3 linked regions of the Anolis sagrei genome follow. The protein of the gene in region 1 interacts with the protein of each later gene in a biochemical or structural test. Links are inferred from orthologs where the notes say so. Each region holds a gene or a part of one and is shown in the gene's direction. Other genes may lie near its edges.

Evidence for each region. The genes of interacting proteins can lie anywhere in the genome.
Region 2: the proteins of CLNS1A (region 1) and PRMT5 form a complex in vitro, tested with the Homo sapiens proteins (5 studies listed by BioGRID and IntAct, with this or other methods). The link is inferred for Anolis sagrei from reciprocal best matches to the Homo sapiens genes CLNS1A and PRMT5.
Region 3: the proteins of CLNS1A (region 1) and SNRPD3 form a complex in vitro, tested with the Homo sapiens proteins (2 studies listed by BioGRID). The link is inferred for Anolis sagrei from reciprocal best matches to the Homo sapiens genes CLNS1A and SNRPD3.

Annotation. Positions count from the first base shown.
Region 1 is NC_090023.1:9,832,569-9,840,472, reverse strand, and holds the start of CLNS1A (methylosome subunit pICln), read left to right. Parts: upstream 1-4,887; 5' UTR 4,888-4,973; coding exon 4,974-5,092; intron 5,093-7,904. UniProt on the Homo sapiens protein: Involved in both the assembly of spliceosomal snRNPs and the methylation of Sm proteins.
Region 2 is NC_090026.1:9,495,234-9,502,888, forward strand, and holds the start of PRMT5 (protein arginine N-methyltransferase 5), read left to right. Parts: upstream 1-4,631; 5' UTR 4,632-4,669; coding exon 4,670-4,797; intron 4,798-7,655. UniProt on the Homo sapiens protein: Arginine methyltransferase that can both catalyze the formation of omega-N monomethylarginine (MMA) and symmetrical dimethylarginine (sDMA), with a preference for the formation of MMA.
Region 3 is NC_090034.1:49,010,321-49,017,526, reverse strand, and holds the start of SNRPD3 (small nuclear ribonucleoprotein Sm D3), read left to right. Parts: upstream 1-4,182; 5' UTR 4,183-4,287; intron 4,288-5,086; 5' UTR 5,087-5,114; coding exon 5,115-5,240; intron 5,241-7,206. Other genes in the region: protein GUCD1, read right to left, coding at 1-128, 768-852, 3,383-3,470. UniProt on the Homo sapiens protein: Plays a role in pre-mRNA splicing as a core component of the spliceosomal U1, U2, U4 and U5 small nuclear ribonucleoproteins (snRNPs), the building blocks of the spliceosome.

The DNA of each region.
Region 1 (7,904 bases):
TCACTGAGCGAACCTCACATGCGGAGGGTGAGTTGATAGTCTTAAACATTTTTAAAGCACAGAACAGAACCGTACAGGTTAGCTACAGAGCGGAAACTGAGCACAGTTGTTCCCGAGGCATGCTGGAACATGACACACGCGCTCGTTGCGGTATGTGCGCGAACTACTCGTGTCTACAACAAAACGGACCTTACTTAAAAAATACCCCTTGTAGTTAGATCCTGTTTTCTCTTCCCACTGCCTAAAATACTTCAGTACCCCCAAGTTTGGAAAGATAAGCATTCCCTATATATTATGCAATCGCATCGATCTAGTGACACACAAATGCGTGTTTTAAAGGAAACATCTTCCAGAAAATGTCTTTTTTGAAGTATGATTTTCTTTCTTCCCTTTCATTCTATTCTTTTCCCTTTTTTCTCTTTCCTTAATACAGGTTGAGCATCCTTTAGTCAAAAGGCTTGGGACCAGAAGTGTTTGGGATTTTGAAAGTTTTTTTTTACCTGTACCATACTTACATAATTATATAAAATTAGCTTATATTTCCTGGACATGTACACCATAGGTAGTGTGTGTGTGTGTATGTGTGTGTGTGTGTGTGTGTGTGTGTGTGTGTGTATATATATATATATATATATATATGCTGGGTTGTTGTAGGTTTTTTCGGGCTATATGGCCATGGTCTAGAGGCATTCTCTCCTGACATTTCGCCTGCATCTATGGCAAGCATCCTCAGAGGTAGTAAGGATGCTTGTCATAGATGCAGGCAAAACGTCAGGAGAGAATGCCTCTAGACCATGGCCATATAGCCTGAAAAAACCTACAACAACCCAATGATTCCGGCCATGAAAGCCTTCGACTATATATATATATGCAGTTTTTGGGATGTTGTTAGGACCGCTGCCTGCCTTCTCCAGCTCTGCGGGGGCCTACCTCACAGTGACAACTCTTTTTGTGCAGGTCCTTTTTGTGGTTCACTCTTTGCTTCCTCAGTTTCCCTCATACACCTTCTCCCTTTCCCTTATTCTTCCTTTCCTTTCTTATTTCTTCCTTTCCTTCTTCCCTTGTTTTTCTTCACACATCTGTTTCCCTTTCCTTCATTTCCTTTCCTTTCTCTTTTTCTTCCTTCCCTTTTTCCATTTATTGTTCCCTTCTCTTGTCTTTCCTTCCTTTTCTTCTTCCCTTGTTTTCATTCACACATCTGCCCCTCTTCTTTTTCATTCTTCCCTCCCTTCTTCCATTCTTCCCTTCCTTTCTTGTTTATTCCTTTCTTTCTTCCCTTGTTATATTATTTATTTTGAACATTTCTACTCTGCCCTTCTCAACCCCTGGGGGGACTCAGGGCGGCTTACAATTGGCAACAATTCAATGCCACAACATAAAATACAGAATAACAAATATAACAATTATACATGAACATTAATAAAGATTAAAACAGTATACTTAGATTCTGATTAGCTATTGCCCGTCTGGTGGCCGTTTAGCTAGCCATCTACTAATGATTACTCCACTTATCCAAATCCTCTTCCATGCCATAGTCAACATTATCAATTGTCCTTTAATCTGATTGCCCAAAGGCCTGGTCCCACAGCCACGTTTTAACCTTTTTTCTAAAGGTGAGGAGGGATGACCTAATTTCCCCGGGGAGCAAATTCCACAGGTGGAGGGCCACCACTGAGAAGGCCCTGTCCCTCGTCCCCACCAAGCGTGTTTGAGACAAAGGCAGGGTCGAGAGCAGGGCCTCCCCAGACGATCTTAAGTTCAGAGGTGGCACGTAGAAGGAGATACGTTCGGACACCTATCCCCTTTCTTTTCCTTTCTTCCCTCCCTTTCTCTTCCCTTGTCTTTCCTTTATTTCTTTCCTTCTTCCCTTGTTTTCCTTCACACATCTGTCTCCCTTTCTTTACCTTACCTTTCGCTTCTTTTTCTTCCTTCCTTTTCATCCTTTTTCCTTTCCTTTCCAATTTCTTTCATTCTTCCCTTGTTTTCTTTCACACATGTGTCCCTTTTTCCTCCTTCTCCTTTTCCTTTTCTCTATTTCTTTCTTCCCTCCCTTCATCCCTTCCGGTCTTCAATCCTTTCCTTTCCCTCTTTTTTTCCTTCACATACCTGTCCCCCTTTTTTCTCATTTCTTCCTTCCCCTTCTTTTCCTTTTCTTTTTTCTTCGCTCCTTTCTTTCATCCCTTCTTTTCTCCTCCCTTTTGTCTTTTTTTTCTTCCTTCCCTTTATACCCCTTTCCCTTTTCATTCTTTCTTTCCTCCCTTCATCTTATACGTGTCACCTTTCTTTCCTAGTGACATCACAGAGGGCCACTTCACCTAGCAACAACCAATCCACTTTGTTCCTTGTCTTTCCCGCTGCTCTGAAAGGGCCTTTTTCCCCCCCAAACCCCTCAATTATTTTAAGTTGGATAATGAAGGTGTCACATTTGGTCCAGATCCATCAAGCCATGGAGGAGGCTTTGTGGTACAAACCAACATAAATATATACAAACTCTGACTTTTATAGATTTAAATAATACTTTTCTGCATGAAACACAGTTTGTCTACATTGAACCATCAGACAGCAAAAGGCGCTACTATCACAGTCAACCATGTGGACAATTTTGAATTTCAGAGTATTTAATAGTTCCGGATAAAGGTTACTCAACCTTTATCTCCTTAGGTGCCTTAATGCTTAGTCCACATTCAGGTCTGAAGTAGTTCCCTCTCTTTTCTCATTTTCTTCTATTTTTTGCTCTGTAATTGTACTTCTAAAAAAGAAATCAAAGACTTGAGCAAAGAGCAATGTAAGGATACTCAATGTGGATAATCAATTGTAAAGGTGCCGTGTACTTGCAAGAACTAACAAGCACTATTATCATCCGTTTCGGATCAAGTTTGAGCAGTTCCAAGGTATTGTGACCTTTCATTGATGGTTTGTGGGTTATATAAATTATTATTATTATTATTATTATTATTATTATTATAGTTCTTTCCTGCACTGCCTCTGAGGATGCTTGCCATAGATGCAGGCGAAACGTCAGGAGAAATGCCTCTAGAACATGGCTCTATAGCCCAAAAAAACCCACAAGAACCTAATGTGTTTACTATTCTTATGCTGGACAAAATAATACTATATTATTATATTTTATAATTACAATTTTATATATTATTATTAGAATCAAAGGGTTGGAAGAGACCATCCAGTTCCCTACTGTATACAGAGAAAAGAACAAAAATGTTTACTATTATGTTGGACAAAATAATACTATACTATTATCTTTATATTTAATAATGTATTATATTTTGTAATTTATTTGATATTATAATAATTATTAATTCTATTATTATTATCATCATTATCATTATTATTATTACAGTTCCTTCCTGCAGGGAAAAGAAACAATATAAAAACTACAAAACATTAATACAGTTCGCTACTGTATACAGAGAAAAGAACAAAAATGTTTATTATGTTGGACAAAATAATACTATTTAAAATAATACTATTATTATAATATTTTATAATTACAATTTTATAATATATTATATTTTGTAATATATTATACTTTGTAATTTATTTTATATTATTATATTTATTATTATTATTATTATTACAGTTCCCTCCTGCAGAGAAAAGAACAAAAATGTTTACTATTATGTTGGACAAAATAATACTATACTATTATCTTTATGTTTTATACTTATAATTTTATAATGTATTATATTTTGTAATACATTATATTTTATAATTTATTTAATATAACTTTATTATTATTATTATTATTATTATTACTACAGTTCCCTACTGCTGAGAAAAGAACAAAAATGTTTACTATTATGTTGGACAAAATAATACTGTACTATTATTATTATTATATTTTATAATTACAATTTTATAATGTATTATATTTTGTAATTTATTTGATATTAATATATTTGATATTATTATTATTATTATTACAGTTCCTTCCTGCAGGAAAAAGAAACAAAAATGATTACTATTCTTTTGCTGGATAAATTATTATTATTATTATTATTATTTACTATATATATATATATATATATATATATATATATATATATATAATGTAAATAATAATAATAGTAATAATAATAGTTTATCTAGTATAAGAGTAGTAAACATAATAATTATATATATATATTCTCACTTTCTCTATATATATAAATTACTATTACTATTATTATTTACAATATATATACATAATGTAAATAATAGTAATAATAGTAATAATAATTTATCTAGTATAAGAATAGTAAACATAATAATTATTATATATATATATATTCTCTTTCTATATATAAATTATTATTACTATTATTATTTACTATATATATATATAATGTAAATAATAATAATTTATCTACTGTAAGAATAGTAAACATAGTAATTATTATAATATATATATATTCTCTCTCTCTCTACTATGATTATTTATTTTATATCATTATTATTATTATTATTATTATTATTATTATTATTATTAAGAGACAAGCCTTATTGAGAAAGGCCTTAGCTCAGGCCTAGGCCAACTTGGGCCCTCTGTGTGTTTTGGACTTCAACTCCCACAATTCCTAACAGCCTAATAGGCTGTTAGGAATTGTGGGAGTTGAAGTCCAAAACACACAGAGGGCCCAAGTTGGCCTAGGCCCGTCTCGTTTTAGACTAACATCCAACATGGCCGCCTTTCATTCCCCGCTTTAGATACTCCCGAACTCCGACTCCCAGAATCCCACTGCCTTAGTCGTTATGGCAAGGGCTTCTGGGAGACGAAGTCCGGAACTCTCAGTGGATTATGACGTCACGGCGTTGTGGCGAAGGAGAGAAAGGGAGAGACGCAGAAAGGTCTTTGTCGCGTGAGGCGGAAGCGGAAAGAGGTGACAGCGCGCTGCTTCCGGTTCCTCGCGTTTCCGTTTTGTGCCGGAGCGGAGGGGACGCGGCCTAGCTGTTTCCTCCCCTCCTTTCAGGCAGCCATGAGTTTCCTGAAACGCCTCCCGGAGCCGAGCGAAGGCGTCCGGCTGAGGCAGGCCGAGACCGAAGCCGTGCTGGGAGGGCGACGCCTGGGCAGCGGGACCCTCTTCGTGGCCGAGAGGTGAGTCGCCGAGTTTGGGTAGGCCTCACCTCGAATCATAGAATCCTAGAGTTGGAAGAGACCTCATGGGCCATCCAGTCCAACCCCATTCTGCCAAGAAGCAGGAATATTGCATTCAAATCACCCCTGACAGATGGCCATCCAGCCTCTGCTTAAAAGCTTCCAAAGAAGGAGCCTCCACCACACTCCGGGGCAGAGAGTTCCACTGCTGAACGGCTCTCACAGTCAGGAAGTTCTTCCTCATGTTCAGATGGAATCTCCTCTCTTGCAGTTTGAAGTCATTGTTCTGCATCCTAGTCGCTCTCTTGTAGAATCATAGAATCCTAGAGTTGGAAGAGACCTCATGGGCCATCCAGTCCAACCCCATTCTGCCAAGAAGCAGGAATATTGCATTCAAAGCACCCCTGACAGATGGCCATCCAGGAGAGAAGCATTCCCTCCTGACGTTTCGCCCACATCTATGGCAAGCATCCTCGGAGGTTGTGAGATGCGTTGGAAACTAGACAACTGAGGTTTATATATCATGTTTAACAAGTTAAACATGAGCCAACAATGTGATGTAGCGGCAAAAAAAGCCAATGGGATTTTGGCCTGCATCAATAGGAGCATAGTGTCTAGATCTAGGGGAGTAATGCTACCCCTCTATTCTGCTTTGGTTAGACCACACCTGGAATACTGTGTCCAATTCTGGGCACCACAACTCAAGAGAGATATTGACAAGCTGGAATGTGTCCAGAGGAGGGCGACTAAAATGATCAATGGTCTGGAGAACAAGCCCTATGAGGAGCGGCTTAAGGAGCTGGGCATGTTTAGCCTGAAGAAGAGAAGGCTGAGAGGAGATATGATAGCCATGTATAAATATGTGAGAGGAAGCCACAGGGAGGAGGGAGCAAGCTTGTTTTCTGCTTCCTTGGAGACTAGGACACAATGGAGCTATGGCTTCAAACTACAAGAAAGGAGATTCCATCTGAACATTAGGAAGAACTTAATAGAATCATAGAATCTTCCTGACTGTGAGAGCCCCAGAGACCTTCTTTGGAGGCTTTTAAGCAGAGGCTGAATGGTCATCTGTCGGGGGTGCTTTGAATGCAATTTTCTATCCAGTCCAACCCCATTCTGCTAAGAAGCAGGAAAATGGCATTCAAAGCACTCCCAACAGATGACCATTCAGCATCTGCTTAAAAGCCTCCAAAAAAGGAGCCTCCACCACACTCCAGGGGAGAGAGTTTCATGGCTGAACTGCTCACACAGTTAGGAAGTTCTTCCTCATGTTCAGGTGGAATCTCCTTTCCTGTAGTTTGAAGCCATTGGGTTGTTGTAGGTTTTTTGGGACTATATGGCCATGTTCTAGAAGCATTCTCTCCTGACGTTTTGCCTGCATCTATGGCAAGCATTCTGAAAGACCTCACAACCTCTGAGGATGCGTGCCATAGATGCAGGTGAAACGTCAGGAGAGAATGCCTCTATACCTAATGATTCCAGCCATTAAAACCTTCTACAATACTTTGAAGCCATTGTTCCATCGCATCCTAGTCTTCAGGGCAGCAGAAAACAAGCTTGCTTCCTCCTCCCAATGACTTCCCTCACATCTTGATACATGGCCCTCAAGTGATTGTAGTCCAGAAACAGTATTTTTTCCTTGGCTTTGTTGACAAAAGGACTTCCCATTCAGATATTATGTAAAACAAAATATCAGTACTCAAAATACCCAGTGGCGATGGATAGGTGAAGGAGCCGGGCTGTTCAAGAGAATCAAGTCCTTCTGGCATTCTTATCAGTATGCAGAGATGCTAGAACATCACTGCATGTATGTCAGCAGAATTTAGCTCTGTAATTTCAGTAACTGGAATGCAGGTATACCTCAGTTCACAAATCCTTTGAGAAAGTAGCTTCTTTTACAAAGCTTTTTTTATACCTGCCAAGCCCCACAGTCCCCCTTTCTCTCTGTCTGACTATTTTTTTTTAGTAGTAACTGCATTGGCAGGATGGTGAAGGAGTGCCGGAGTAACAAGAATTTATTTTTTATTTATTTATTTCCTGTCCTTGTATACCGCCGTTTCTCAGCCTAACTGGCGACTCAACACGGTTTACAACAAAATATACAGTGCACAGTATACAATTAAAACCATAAAAACATAATACACAATATTACACGTAAATCACAATCCAATACATCTCCTAACTAAAATCCTGGTCCAATTTCATCATCCATATTACCAATCCGTAATCAACACATTCATTGCACCGAATTAACCAAATGCCTGCTTGAATTTGGTGTTACGTTGCAGAAGCATATTTTGTAATAAACAATAAATAAAATCTATATAAATAAAAATGTAATGTTCGTTTAACATAACTCAAAAACCACTGGATGAATTGACACTAAATTTGGACACAAGACACCTATCAGGCCAACGAGTGACCATCACTCATAAAAACACTGACAAACACAGCAGAAGAGACTTAAAAGGTCAAAAAAGCAAAAAACGCTACAGCACATGCGCAAAAACTACTCTCCTGGCAAACAAAACACACAATAGCATAACTACACTCTCTTCCGGACTACAGCTCCCAGCATCCCCTAGACAAGGCCCTTTAGGAGAGGAGGATGATCCAAATGCACCGCTTCTATGCTGCAAGCTTTCTTCTCCTTGGAAATCTTTGAGCGCATCCCAAAACCTGCATATCTCCAGTTTCCTATTCCTGGACTGCAATTTCCAGCAATCCTCCAGTTAGATAGATTAGATAGAGATAGGTAGATAGATGGATGGATCAGGACTACTGGGAGTTGCAGTCCAAGAATAGGTAGAGA
Region 2 (7,655 bases), on another chromosome or scaffold:
CTATTGTTGGTGGGGGTTCCATAGTCAAAGACCCACCACTGAGAAGGCATCCGTAGGGAGACCAAGGTGCTTCTCTATAAAGCTATTGTCCTCCCAACCCTGCTATATGCCTGTGAAACGTGGACTGTCTACAGACGTCACATGCAACTCCTGGAACGATTCCATCAGCGCTGCCTCCGGAAAATCCTGCAAATCTCCTGGGAAGACAAGCGGACAAACGTCAGCGTGCTGGAAGAAGCAAAGACCACCAGCATTGAAGCGATGGTCCTCCAACATCAACTCCGCTGGGCCGGACACGTTGTCCGGATGCCTGACCACCGTCTCCCAAAGCAGTTGCTCTACTCTGAACTTAAGAACAGAAAACGGAATGTTAGAGGACAGGAAAAGAGATTTAAAGATGGCCCCTTAAAAACTCTGGCATAGACACTGAGAACTGGGAAGTCCTGGCCCTTGACTGCTCCAGCTGGAGGTCAGCTGTGACCAGCAGTGCTGCAGAATTTGAGGAGGCACGAGTGGAGGGTGAAAGAGAGAAACGTGCCAGGAGGAAGGCGCATCAAGCCAACCCCGACCGGGACCGCCTTCCACCTGGAAACCAATGTCCACACTGCGGAAGAAGATGCAGAGCAAGAATAGGGCGCCGCAGCCACACGCGGACCCACAGGAAAACCCATAATGGAAGACCATCTTACTCGTCCAACGAGGGATCGCTAAATAAGTAAGTAAGTACTGAGAAGGCCCTGTTTCTCGTCCCCACCAATCACACTTGCGAGGAAGGTGGAACCAAGAGCAGGGCCTCCCCAAATTACCTTAATCTCTGAGATGGTTCATTGTGCTGGTACAGCTATACCAGGAGCTCCAACTGTATTTACTTTGTATTAGATGTTGCTTGCAGTCCAAGGTTGCAGGGACTCTGCAGATAGGTGGCTTTCTTTGGTTGCAGTCGTAGGGCAAGTCACCTGTCCATCATCGGGAAGGGAGCCAATTTTAGTTAGTCTCAGCAAGGAAAGCTAATGTACAGGACGTGTGCAAGCTTCCCCTGTACAAAAGCTTCAACCCTTAAGACTTTCCGGGAGAACAGTCTTAAGAGTCTCCAAAGATTTTCAGGGAAACAGCCCTAAAGACCAAAGAACTCCAGCTGGAGAACATCTAAACCTTTACTGGTAGGTTCACTCGGCGTTCGAGAAGCAGTTCAACCCGGTAGCGGAGCCCACATCAGTAAGGGTTAGATTACAGTCAGCCAGGGAGAAGTTAAAAAGGGGATTTTCCTTTAAAGTAAAGAAGAAGTTATTGAAGGCAGTTGCCTGTCCTTCATGGGCAAGTTTAGGAAGCTACCAGTTGCATTAAAGTCTGGAATCATTTGTTTAGCTTTATTGAAGACAAGAGAAGTTTCTGTTTGATTCTTCATTAATAAAATACTTTGTTATACTTCACAAGCCATCTAAAGATCATTTGTGGTGGAAAACCTCTGAGAACTTCTCCTTGGGCCCCCTGGCTTCCCGCTGGGCAAAGGTTGCACGTCCTGTTCTAAAAGGAAATTCTTTACAGGTCCAGCACGCAACAGAACATTCATAGAGGGAGATATGTTCAGACAGGTAAGCTGGGCAACAATTCTATTGTTGGTGGAGTTCACACTGCTCTTTGATTGTAGGGGAACTATAAACCCGAGCAACTACAACTCCCAAATGTCAAGGTCTATTTCCTCCCAAACTCCACCAGTGTTCACATTTGGGCACATTGAGTATTTGTGCCAAGTTTGGTCCGATCGATCATTATTTGAGTCCACAGTGCTCCCTGAATGTAGGTGAACTACAAATCCAAAACTCAAGGTCAAAGCCACTGAACCCTTTCTGTATTTTCTGTTGGTCATGGGAGTTCTATGTGCCAAGTTTGGTTAAATTCCATTGTTGGTGGAGTTCAGAATGCTCTTCGATTGTAGGCTAACTATAAATCCCAGCAGCTACAACTCCCAATTGACAAAATCAATCCCCACTCCAACCTCACCAGTATTCAAATTTGGGCCTATCGGGTATTTGTGCCGAATTCCATCCAGTTAATTAATATATCCTGCATATCAGATATTTACATTACAATTCATAATAGTAGGAAAATTACAGTTATGAAGTAGGAACAAAAATAATTTTATGGTTGCAAATCTGAATCTGGAAGTTCCAGATTCAGGCCATCAAATGCTAATCAAGGCAGTCAGTTGAAACATTCACACCTAGCTCCAGCAGACAAGAGTTCTTTGTCCCACCCTGGTCATTCCACAGATATATAAACCCAATTTTCCTAGTTCCAACCTCACAACCTCTGAGGATGCTTGCCATAGATGCAGGCGAAACGTCAGGAGAGAATGCCTCTAGAACATGGCCATATAACCTGAAAAAACCTACAACCCAGTGATTCCAGTCAACAATACAAATATTAAATGGTACTAAACTGTTTTTATTATATTATATTATGTATATTTATGCTTTTCTTATTGTGGGCACTGTGCTGTGCCGGTTGTTAGCCTCCCTGAGTCCCTCTGCGGAGATGAGATAGGACGGGATATAAATGCCCTAAATAAATAGAAATAATGTGTGCAGATCCCAGTAAGGTGGCCTTTTGCAGCTGACAGATGGTTATTTTGTCAGTGGCGATTGTTTTTAAGTGCAGGCCAAGGTCTTGAAGCACTGCACCCAGTGTGCCGATCACCACTGGGACCCCCTTGACTGGCTTGTGCCAGACTCTTTGCAGTTCGATCTTTAAATCCTCATATCGTGTCAGCTTTTCCAACTTTTCCAGTTGTTTCCCTTCAATCCTGCTATCACCCAGGATTACATTGATGATCCATACTTTGTTTCTTAACACGATCGTGAGGTATGGAGTGTTGTGTTCCAAAACTCTTGTCTGTCTGAATTCGGAAGTCCCAGAGTAGTTTGAACTCTTCTTCTTACTTACTTACTTAGGCCATCCCTCGCTGTCCGAGTAGGATAATCCTCCAAGGTGGGTCCGTAGGTGACTGTGGAGCCCTCTTCTTGATCTGTATCTCCTCCCGCAGTGAGGGCATTGGTTTCCAGGTGGAAGGCGGTCCTGGTCTGGGTTGGGTTGACACGCCTTCCTCTTGGCACGTTTCTCCCTTTCAACCTCCATTCATGCTTCTTCGAATTCTGCAGCACTGCTGGTCACAGCTGACCTCCAGCTGGAGCGCTCAAGGGCCAGGGCTTCCCAGTTCTCAGTGTCTATGCCAGAGTTTTTAAGGTTGGCTTTGAGCCCATCTTTAAATCTCTTTTCCTGTTCACCAACGTTCCATTTTCCATTCTTGAGTTCTTCTTCTTCTTATTATTATTATCTTGTATATGTAAAAAAACAAAATCCAAAACACTTTGTATCCCAAGCATTTCAGATAAGGGATAAACTGTATTACCAAATGTGAATAAACAAGAATTTCATTCTCAATTCATTGTAAATAAGTTTTAAATAAATAAATAAATAAAATTGTAAATAAATTTTAAATAAATAAATAAATAAAATTGTAAATAAATTAATTGTAAATATATTGTAAATAAATAAATAAAATTGTAAATAAATGCATTGTAAATAAGTAAATAACTAAAATTATAAATAAATTCATTGTAAATAAATAAATAAATAAAATTGTAAATAAATTCATTGTAAATATATTGTAAATAAATAAATAAATTGTAAATAAATTAATTGTAAATAAATTAATTGTAAATAAATTGTAAATAAATAAATAAATAAATTGTAAATAAATAAATAAAATTGTAAATAAGTAAATTGTAAATAAATAAATACAAAAATTGTAAATAAATAAATAAATAAATTATAAATAGATTTATTGTATATAAATTGTAAATAAACAAATGAATAAAATTGTAAATAAATTCTTTCTAAACACATTGTAAATAAATAAATAAATAAAATTGTAAATAGATTCATTGTAAATAAATTTTAAATAAATAAATAAAATTGGAAATAAATTCATTGTAAATATTTTGTAAATAAATAAGTAAATAAAATTGTAAATAAATTATGAATAAATAAAATTGGAAATAAATTCAGTGTAAATAAATAAATAAAATTGGAAATAAATTCATTTGAAATACATTGTAAATGTGGTAACCCCCCTTTTAAGAATGCACTCAACCTCCTTGTAGTTTAACTGTTAATATGTGTTTGGAAGATCAGAAGGTCAGAATCTTAATTACTCTTGCTAAAGTTTCCAATGAAGAAAAGTTAAGTCTGTTTCGAGCCAGCCAGGAGTCGAACCTAGAATCTTCTGATCCGTAGTCAGACGCGTTATCCATTGCGCCACTGGCCCTCAGACACAAACAGAGCATTCCACCTCCTCCCTTATAAGGCATTCCATAGCGTTGCCTGCTTCGCGATGCATCCTGGGAAGTGTAGTCTTCCACCGTCATGTGCCTTTTTTCCCCCTCCCGAGTGCATGATGGGAAATAGAACCTTTACCTCATGCTCTCTCAGTCACTGACTCCGGCTCGGATTTTGATTGGTTTAGCTAGGCCGGTGCTGACTCCGCCCCCTCCACTCTGGCTTTGAAAGGCCTCATTGGATTGGCTGCTTTCTGTAAAACGGCCGCGGATTGGTTAAAGTGCTAGAGTGGGCGCGGGCTCACGGTTCTGGCTTCTCTGTGTGGCGGGACATGGCGGCGAACACAGCGGCGGCGCCTTCGGTCGGGCCCGGCTCGGCGGCGGCTCGCGTCTCTTGCGGGAGAGACCTCAACTGCGTCCCGGAAGTGGCCAGCACTCTGGGGGCGGTCGCCCGGCAGGGGTGAGGAGGAGAACCACGTGGCTTCATACTATAGAACAGGCCTGGGCCAATTTGGGCCCTCCAGGTGTTTTGGACTCCAACTCCCATCATTCCTAACAGCCTCAGGCCTTTTTATTTTCTCCCTCAGCCGCTTAAGCGGCTGAGGGAGAAAATAAAAGGGCCTGAGGCTGTTAGGAATGATGGGAGTTGGAGTCCAAAACTCCTAGAGGGCCCAAAGTTGGCCCAGGCCTGCTCTATCATCTATCAATCTGTTGCTAGCCCTATAATGTCACTGGGAAAGGAAAAGAGTGAAGTAGCTTGGTTGCTGCTAAGTGACATGTGTGTAAAGGGAAGGGAAGGAAGCAAAAAAGAAGGAAAACAGGAAAAGAGAGAGAGAAAGAAAAGGGGAAAAGATAGGAGGTGAGGAAAGAAAGGATCTGTAATTGGCTAGGTGGATCTATAATCCCAGAATATCAAGGTAGACAATCCCACAATATCTGCTTTGTTATCGGAGTCCACACGCAGATATGTCCCAGCAGATTGGAGGAGCGCAAATGTGGTCCCTATCTGTCTTCAAGAAGGGCAAAAGGATGACTCAAACAATTACTGTCCTGTCAGCTTCACGTCAATACCAGGCAAGATTCTGGAAAAAAAGCATTAAGTGCTCTGCGAACAGGCCCTCCCGCACACCTTCTAAACTGTGCACATAGAATCATAGAATCAAAGAGTTGGAAGAGACCTCATGGGCCATCCAGTCCAACCCCATTCTGTCAAGAAGCAGGAATATTGCATTCAAATCACCCCTGACAAATGGCCATCCAGCCTCTGCTTAAAAGCTTCCAAAGAAGGAGCCTCCACCACACTCCGGGGCAGAAAGTTCCACTGCTGAACGGCTCTCACAGTCAGGAAGTTCTTCCTCATGTTCAGATGGAATCTCCTTTCTTGTAGTTTGAAGCCATTGTTCCGCGTCCTAGTCTCCAAGGAAGCAGAAAACAAGCTTGCTCCCTCCTCCCTGTGGCTTCCTCTCACATATTTATACATGGCTATCATATCTCCTCTCAGCCTTCTCTTCTTCAGGCTAAACATGCCCAGTTCCCTAAGCCGCTCCTCATAGGGCTTGTTCTCCAGACCCTTGATCATTTTAGTTGCCCTCCTCTGGACCCATTCCAGCTTGTCAATATCTCTCTTGAATTGTGGTGCCCAGAATTGGACACAATATTCCAGATGTGGTCTAACCAAAGCAGAATAGAGGGGTAGCATTACTTCCTTAGATCTAGACACTATGCTCCTATTGATGCAGGCCAAAATCCCATTGGCTTTTTTTGCCGCCCCATGACATTGTTGGCTCATGTTTAACTTGTTGTCCACGAGGACTCCAAGATCTTTTTCACACGTACTGCTCTCGAGCCAGGCGTCACCCATTCTGTATCTTTGCATTTCATTTTTTCTGCCAAAGTGGAGTATCTTGCATTTGTCACTGTTGAACTTCATTTTGTTAGTTTTGGCCCATCTCTCTAATCTGTCAAGATCCCTTTGAATCCTGCTCCTGTCCTCTGGACTATTGGCTATCCCTCCCAATTTGGTGTCGTCTGCAAACTTGATGATCATGCTTGATGATCAAACTTGATGATCATGTGCTGCTAGTGCTTACAGTGCCCCTTCCAACAGGTCCTCTTCATCAGAGGATGAAATCACTGAGGGAGGGGACTTTTGTGTTTGTCTTCCTGGCTGGGTCCTTGCCCTTGGCCCCACCAAAGTTCTTCTAAGGCAACACGTTGAAAAGAATGAAAAGATTATTATTCCACTTTGTTGATCGTCAACATGGATTTATCAAAAATAATTCATGTCAGACTAATCTTATCTCTTTTTTTGAGAGAGTTACAAGCTGGGTAGATGCAGGGAATGCCATGGATGTAGCGTAACTGGATTTCAGTAAGGCCTTCAAAAAGTTCTCCCATTTCCTTCTGGCAAACATACTAGTCAAATGTGGGCTAGACAAAACTATGGTTAGGTGGATCTGTAATTGGTTAAGGGAACGAACCCAATGGCTGCTCCCCAGTATTTCCTCGGGAGTGCCATATAAGCAGGGTTCCGTCCTGAGTATGGTCCTGTTCAACATCTTTATTAATGTTTTAGAGGAAGGGTTAGAAGGCAGGATCATCAAGTTGGCAGACGACACCAAATTGGGAGGGATAGCCAATACTCCAGAGGACAGCAGCAGGATTCAAAACGATCTGAACAGATGAGAGAGATGGGCTAAAACTAAGCTCAACAGTGACAAATGCAAGATACTCCACTTAGGCAGAAAAAAATGAAATGCAAGGATACAGAATGGGTGACAATGCCTGGCTCGAGAGCAGTGCGAAAAAGATCTTGGAGTCCTTGTGGACAACAAGTTAAACATGGGCCAACAATGTGATGTGGCAGCAAAAAAAAGCCGATGGGATTTTGGCCTGCATCAAGAGGAGCCTAGTGTATAGATCTAGGGAAGTAATGCTACCCCTCTATTCAGCTTTGGTTAGACCACACCTGGAATATTGTGTCCAATTCTGGGCACCACAATTCAAGAGAGATATTGACAAGCCAGAGGAGGGCGATTAAAAGGATCAAGGGTCTGGAGAACAAGCCCTATGAGGAGTGGCTTAACGAGCTGAGCATGTTTAGTCTGAAGAAGAGAAGGCTGAGAGGGGATATGATAGCCATGTATAAATATGTGAGAGGAAGCCACAGGGAGGAGGGAGCAAGCTTGTTTTCTGCTTCCCTGGAGACTAGGATACAAAACAATGGCTTCAAACTACAAGAGAGGAGATTCCATCTGAACATGAGAGCCGTTCAGCAGTGGAACTCTCTGCCCCCGAGTGTGGTGGAGGCTCCTTCTT
Region 3 (7,206 bases), on another chromosome or scaffold:
TGCAGAAGCGGTGCCGGACCCCAAAGTGGCGCATGAGGTAAGCCAGGTCGATGGTCCAGATGCTCTTGGTCAAACCAAGCTCCTGGACAGCCCTCTGGAACTCGGCGTCATCAAGGAGGTTCAGGTACCTGCCAGGAAGAAGTTGTAAAATATTTTGGTGGCACTATTATATAGAATAATTAATATAATAAATATAACGTAACAATTATATAATTATTATAAATATTTATTATATTATAATGTAATTATTATATTATCATTATACTACAATTTTAATAATACTATTATTCCATTGTACTTTAATATAATAACTAAATCATTATATTATATTAGTTTGTAATTAATATAACTATTATATGATAATTTAATAATTATACTAGGTATAATAGTACTATTATATTATTGTTTTTATTATATTATTGTTGTAAGATTTATATTCTTTCATTATATTCTTTTTCTATTCTACTGTAATATATTTATATTGTTAATATAATGTACCAATTATATTATATTCTTTCATTATTCTATTCTATTAAATTACTATTATAATATAATTGTCATATTATTATATTGTTTAATTGGGATATTGTTGAATTTTATTTTAATTATATTATATTATTATTATAATATAAATGTATAATGTTATTTCAATGTATTATTATTCTATTAAAATTATACCATCATAAAATATAATACTTATATCCGTTCATCGTGTTATTTGCATATGTGTAATGAGGTCACAATTATGAGACGGCTGTCGCACTCACTTGAGGACCATCCTGGAGCAGGCCAGGCCGCAGTCCCAGTGATAGAGCTGCTGGAGGACTGGAACGTTCAGCTGCACTATTCCCACTGCAGTGCAATATCCGTGCGAAGCATGTCCCCGTCGTGTGAGGGAAAAGACACAAGGCGTTTATACTTCATGGGAACCACTCAGGACTACTGAGGAACAACTAAACTGCAGGAAGGGAGGTCCGTGCTAAAGGCGTTCGCAAGCGTGTGAAGGGCATTGCAGTTGTGCAAGGGGGTGTTACAATCATGCCAGGAACAGTGAGACCTTGCAGTTAGTAACCGCACTTGTGCAAGTGACAGTACACAAATGGATTGTACAGTCGTGTGAATGGCATTCCAGTTATTATGCTCGTGCAGCAGAGGTTACAGTTGTGTAAGGAACGTTACAATCGTGTGAGGCATTATATGATGGTGTGAAGGATGTTACGGCCATGAAGGGAACTTGACAATTGTGCAAAGGAGGTTACAACTGGGCAAAGAAGGGAGGTTACAATTGTGTGAGAGGTGTAACAGTGCAAGTGACATTGTACCAATGCAAGGGGCACTATAATAGTGTGACAGGCATTAAGTTCACGCAAGAGGTGTTATAATAGTGTGAGGAGGGATCATGATCCAGTATAGCAACAGTGCAAGGGGGGCATAACAGTGCGAGGGGCATCATGATTCAATGTGAGAATCACACTAGTGCAGGAGGCATAATAATATTGCAAGGGGCATTATGATCCAGTGCAAGAAGCATCACAATAATGCAAGGGGGTGTGATAATAGTGCAAGGGGGTATCACGATCCAGTGAAAAGCATTGCGACAGCACGAGGGGCGTAATAATAGTGCAAGGGTGGGAATTATGATCAGGCGCAAGAAGAATTGCAAGCAGGTGTAATAATAGTGCGAGTGGGACACAATAGGCCGGTTGTTAGCCGCCCTGAGTCCCTCTGTGGAGGTTGAGATAGGACGGGATACAAATGTCCGAAATATATAAATTATTTATTTATTTATTTATTTGGTAGTTTTGTATACCGGTCTTCTCACCTCCATTCGAGGGACTCGGGCCGGTTTCCAACATCAATATTACAGACCGTCATCAAAACATCATATTTCTAAATCACACTAAAACATTAAAACATTGAAACAATTAAAATAGCAAAAATACAATCGTATGATTACACTGGTCAGTCGTCATCAAAGTCATTATTCGTCGTCATCCATCCATATCACAGGATCATGGCTCATTCGCTGAATGCCAGTCCCCAAAGCCAGGTTTTCACCTGTTTCCTGAACGTTAAGATCGAAGGGGCAGTTCTGATCTCCAGTGGAAGGGAGTTCCAGAGTCGAGGGGCCACCACCGAGAAGGCCCTGTCTCTCGTCCCCACCAGCCGCGCCTGTGAGGCCGGTGGGATCGAGAGCAGGGCCCCTCCAGACGATCTTAGTAATCTTGATGGCTCATAGGGGAGGATACGTTCGGACAGGTAAATTGGGCCGGAATAAAATAAAATAATAGTGTGAGGGGCATCATGAGCCAGTGTGAGAAGCACTGCAAAAGGGCGAGGGGTGCAATAATAGCGTGAGGGGCCCCTCACAATCAAGTGTGAAAAGCATCGCAACAGTGTGAGGGGGCATATTAAACGGTGCAAGAGACATCATGTTCCAGTGTGAGAATCGCAATAGTACAAGGGGTGTAATAACAGTGCGAGGGGCATTACGATCCAGTGTAAAAAGCATCGCAATAATGTGAAGGGGCATAATAATAATGTGTGGAGGCGCAATGATCCAGTGTGAGTGGCATCGCAGTAGTGTAAGGTAAGGTAAAGGTAGTCGGCCTATGAGCCCACGAGGACTTTGAGATCTTCCGGGGAGGCCCTGCTATCGATCCCGCCTGCGTCACAGGCACGGCTGGCGGGGACGAGAGATAGGGCCTTCTCGGTGGTGGCTCCTCGGCTGTGGAACACCCTTCCCGTAGACATCAGGCTAGCCCCCTCCCTGTTGATTTTCCGCAGGAAGCTGAAGACCTGGCTGTTTAAGAAGGCATTTGAATAGAAGTGCAATGACTGGTAACTTGACCATGGAATGGAACAATAGAAATGGTATTGGATTGTGAACTTGACGATGAGACGACTCGGAATGACTTTGTAATAATGTTGATGTTTTTGATGAGATGTTTTGCTAATGATGTACTGCGGATTATTTGTCACTATGTCTTGTATTTTGCACCTGTTTTTCTATGTTGTACACCGCAATGAGTCGCCATTAGGCTGAGAATTGCGGCATATAAGCGTAGTAAATAAATAAATAAATAAATAGTCCCCTGACATTAAGTCCAGTCATGTCTGACTCTGGTGTAGTGTAGTGTAAGCGCGTGTAATAATAATGCAAATGGGACACAAAGTGCAAGGGAAAATTACGATTCAGTGTGATAAGAGTGCAAAGGGGCATAATAATAGTGTGAAGGAGCACTATGGCGGTGCCAGAAGCAGCATGAGGGGTATGCTAACACTCCCTGCTCCTACTCAGAGACCCTTCCTGTCTTTGCCCCCCCTCCCTTTGCCCTCAGTGACCGTGCCCTCTGCGCATGCTCAGGGGCTCACCACCGACCTGAGGGCGGGGTCTGGGCCTCTTCTTCTTCCTCCTCTTCTTCTTCCTCCTCTTCTTCTTCCTCCTCCTCTTCTCTGGGGCTCTTCATGGCTCTCTGAAGGCAGGCAGGCAGGAAGGGAAGCCTCCCTTCCTCGCTTCCTGCCGGGCTCCGCCCCTGGCCACGCCCCTGGCCACGCCCCTTGCGGCTCACTTCAGGCCTGAAGAGGTGAGGAAGGCCCCGGCTCCGCCCTTTGTCCCCAAGCCCCGCCCCTTGCCTTTGTGGCCCTGGCTCCGCCCCTTGCATTTAAGACCAAGGCCGTAGCTCCGCCTCTATCACTAAGCCTCGCCCCTTGCGTCTAAAGCCAGAGGATTGGAAGGCCTTGGCCCCGCCCTCTCTCATCAAGCCCCGCCCCTTGAGACCAAGAGAAGGAAGGCCCTAACCTCGCCCCCTTTCCCGAAGCCACGCCCCTTCCGAAAAAGGCCTTGCCCCGCCCACTATCCGATAAGCCACGTCCCTGGCGTTGTTTTGAGTCCTACGGAGCATGCGCATGTCTTGACCACCTTCACTCCAATGGAAATACCATCTCAAGACGCACGATATTGGAATCCGTTCGTTTATGAGGCAAACACAAAGCGGAACTGTAGTCGCCGCCCTTGGGTCTCCCCGCCGGAGCCCAAAAAGGACCGCACCGCTCGTAACCATAGAGTCCCGTAGCTTTCTATTGGAGAGGTGGAAAGGATAGAACGTCATGACTTCCGGTATTAACCGGAAGCCGTTGCTAAAAGTTCCGCACGGAAATCTATGGTTTAAAAAAAGAGCGCGGGGTGGCGGTGGAGCGGACGACACTTCCGCTTCCTCCTCTTCCGCTTTGCATGCTGGGAGGCCGGGCTTTGATCGAATTCACGCTGTAGCGACATCCGAAATCGTACGAGAGAAGGCTTGTTCTTTATTATTGAAGATTATCATATAAAATAGCATAAGAAAGTGTAATAATCTAGAATATATTATATATATATATTAACTTACTATAAAATAAGGTAGTATAACGATAGATGATCGAATATATAATATAGTATGTATATAGTAACATAATATAAAATAAGAGAGTATCATAATCTAGAATGTAATAGAATCTAATACATAATCTATAATATACTATATAATAACCTAATATAAAATAAGACAATGTAATAGCATATCGTATATTACATTTTCTTTTGATTTTATTACAATTATTATTGTATTTTCTTATATATGATGTTATATTGCATTATTATATTTTCTTTTGATTATATTATTATGAGTTCTACGTTATTACATTTTGGACTTTATTGTGATTATATAGTATATTATATTGCTATATTATATTATATTATAATAATTATGATATTTTCCTTGATTATATTATTTTATTGTTTTGTTCTTTTTGTCGTGTCAGGAGTGACTTGAGAAACTGCAAGTCGCTTCTGGTGTGAGAGAATTGGCCGTCTGCAAGGACGTTGCCCAGGGGATGCCCGGATGATTTGATGTTTTTATCATCCTTGTGGGAGGCTTCTCTCATGTCCTCATGTATGAGGAGCTGGAGCTGATAAAGGGAGCTCATCCGCCTCTCCCCGGATTCGAACCTGCGACCTGTCAGGGTTTAACCTACTGCACCACCGGGGGCTCCTTGTTGGGGCCCCTGTGAGCTCACTTCCTGTCCCTCCCTTTTCTCTCCTGGCCAGCTGTCCATCACCCACTTCCATCCTTATCATGTCGATCGGGGTCCCCATCAAGGTCCTCCATGAGGCTGAGGGACACATTGTCACTTGCGAGACAAACACCGGGGAGGTCTACCGCGGGAAGCTCATTGAGGCCGAGGACAACATGAACTGCCAGGTATCAATGGCTTATTGATTAATTTATTATTATTATTAATATATTGTTATCTGTACTGTCAAAGGCTTAATAATAACATTGTTATCTGCATTGTCGAATAATATATTATCGTTATTATATTTATTGTTGTTATAATAAGAAGAAGAATCTTTATTTCTATCCTACCCTATCTCCCCAATGGGGACTCAGAGCGCTTCTCAAGATACATGGAGCAGCAACCATTCAATGCTGTAAAGGGCGACCGACAGTAAAGACGACAACCAGTAGTTAAATAATACACCTTCATCACATAATCATGGAATATTACAAATAATTAAATGACACTACAAATCCATTTTAACTGGACTTATTTTAATTAGATTAATAAAAATTAAAAACATTAACATTTAAAGGAGAGAAACCAGAAGATTACATTATATATTACATTCTATTAAAATTATCCGAAGTGGACAAGAATAGCACAGGATCATATATGTGGACAGAGAAAGGCATAAAAGAATATTAAATATATATATGCTTACTACTAATAATAATATCCAGATGTAAGCTTATTATATTTGTTGTTGTTGTTGTTATATTTATTGTTGTAATTGTAATTATAGTAATAAACTTTATTTGTATCCCTCCCTATCTCCCCAATGGGGAAACATTCAGTGCTGTAAGGTGCAACCAACAAATCAAAAAACTACCATGAATTAAATAATAACACATTACACATCAGGTATTAATAACAATGTCTTTGCTATTAATTTTGTTATTAACCGTGGTAGCACAGTGGTTAAAGCTGCTAGCTGCAGGAAAGGCTGTTAACCGGAGAGTCAACTGTTTGAAGCCACGAGTCAGGGTAAGCTCCCAACTGCTCTAGCTCCTGCCTACCTAGCAGTTTGAAAGAATGCAAGGCAAGTAGATCAGTAGGTACCGCCTCAGTGGGAAGGGAAAAGGGCACCCCATGCAGATAAACAGACATGCCGGCAATACAATTAGAGAAGTCTATGGAAAACAGGCTCCTCAGCATGGAAAATGGAACAAGATCACCTTCAGTTGAGTATCACCTCCAGATGCCGGAGATGGGAAAAGGCGGAAGCCCTTGACCTTTGTCTTATATGTCTTTGTTCACTGTGTGTGTAAAAAGGCATTGAATGTTTGCCTCATATCAGTATTGTAATCCGTTCTGAGTCCCTCCGGGGAGATAAAGTGGAATATAAAGATTATTATTATTATTATCAGGTAATAATCATGTTACATTTATTGTATTTATTATTGTTATAATTATATTGTTGTTACAGTATTATTATTATTCTATATTATTATTTTCAGGCAATAATGATGTATTTAGTATTATACTTATTGTTATATAGTATTATAGTGTAGTTATTATATATTATTATTTTCAGGCCATCATAATGATGTATTTATTAGATTATTTTCTATTTATTAATAATAGTAATAAAACTATTACTACTTTTGCTACTCATGGTGGTTTCCAATAATAATATTTATTATTATATTATTGTGATATTTCTATATTATTATTTTCAGCTAAAATAATGATGTCATTATTATATTTATTATTATTATATTATGGCTATTGTATATTGTTATTTTCAGGCAATAATAATGATGTATTTATTAATATATTTCTTATTGTTATATTTCTTCTTATTGAATGATTGATTTTTTTAATGAAAAATCAAACCGTACAATTCACCATTCTGGACAAGGTGGCAGGAAAGGTATAACAAATGAATAGACAATGACTCCACTAAGGCTGAAAAATCCACTAATTTGAAGACTACTGTGAAGTTATTGCATGAATTACAATGAAGTTTTTACCGGGAGCAAGAGTTAAGGCTATTTTGCTTTCTTTCTAATCAGTACAAGGAAACTGTTGCCTTTTATCATTACAAACAGTGATACTAAGATTTGTTAATATTTTAAAACACATTTTCTTAAAAAATATGTATGA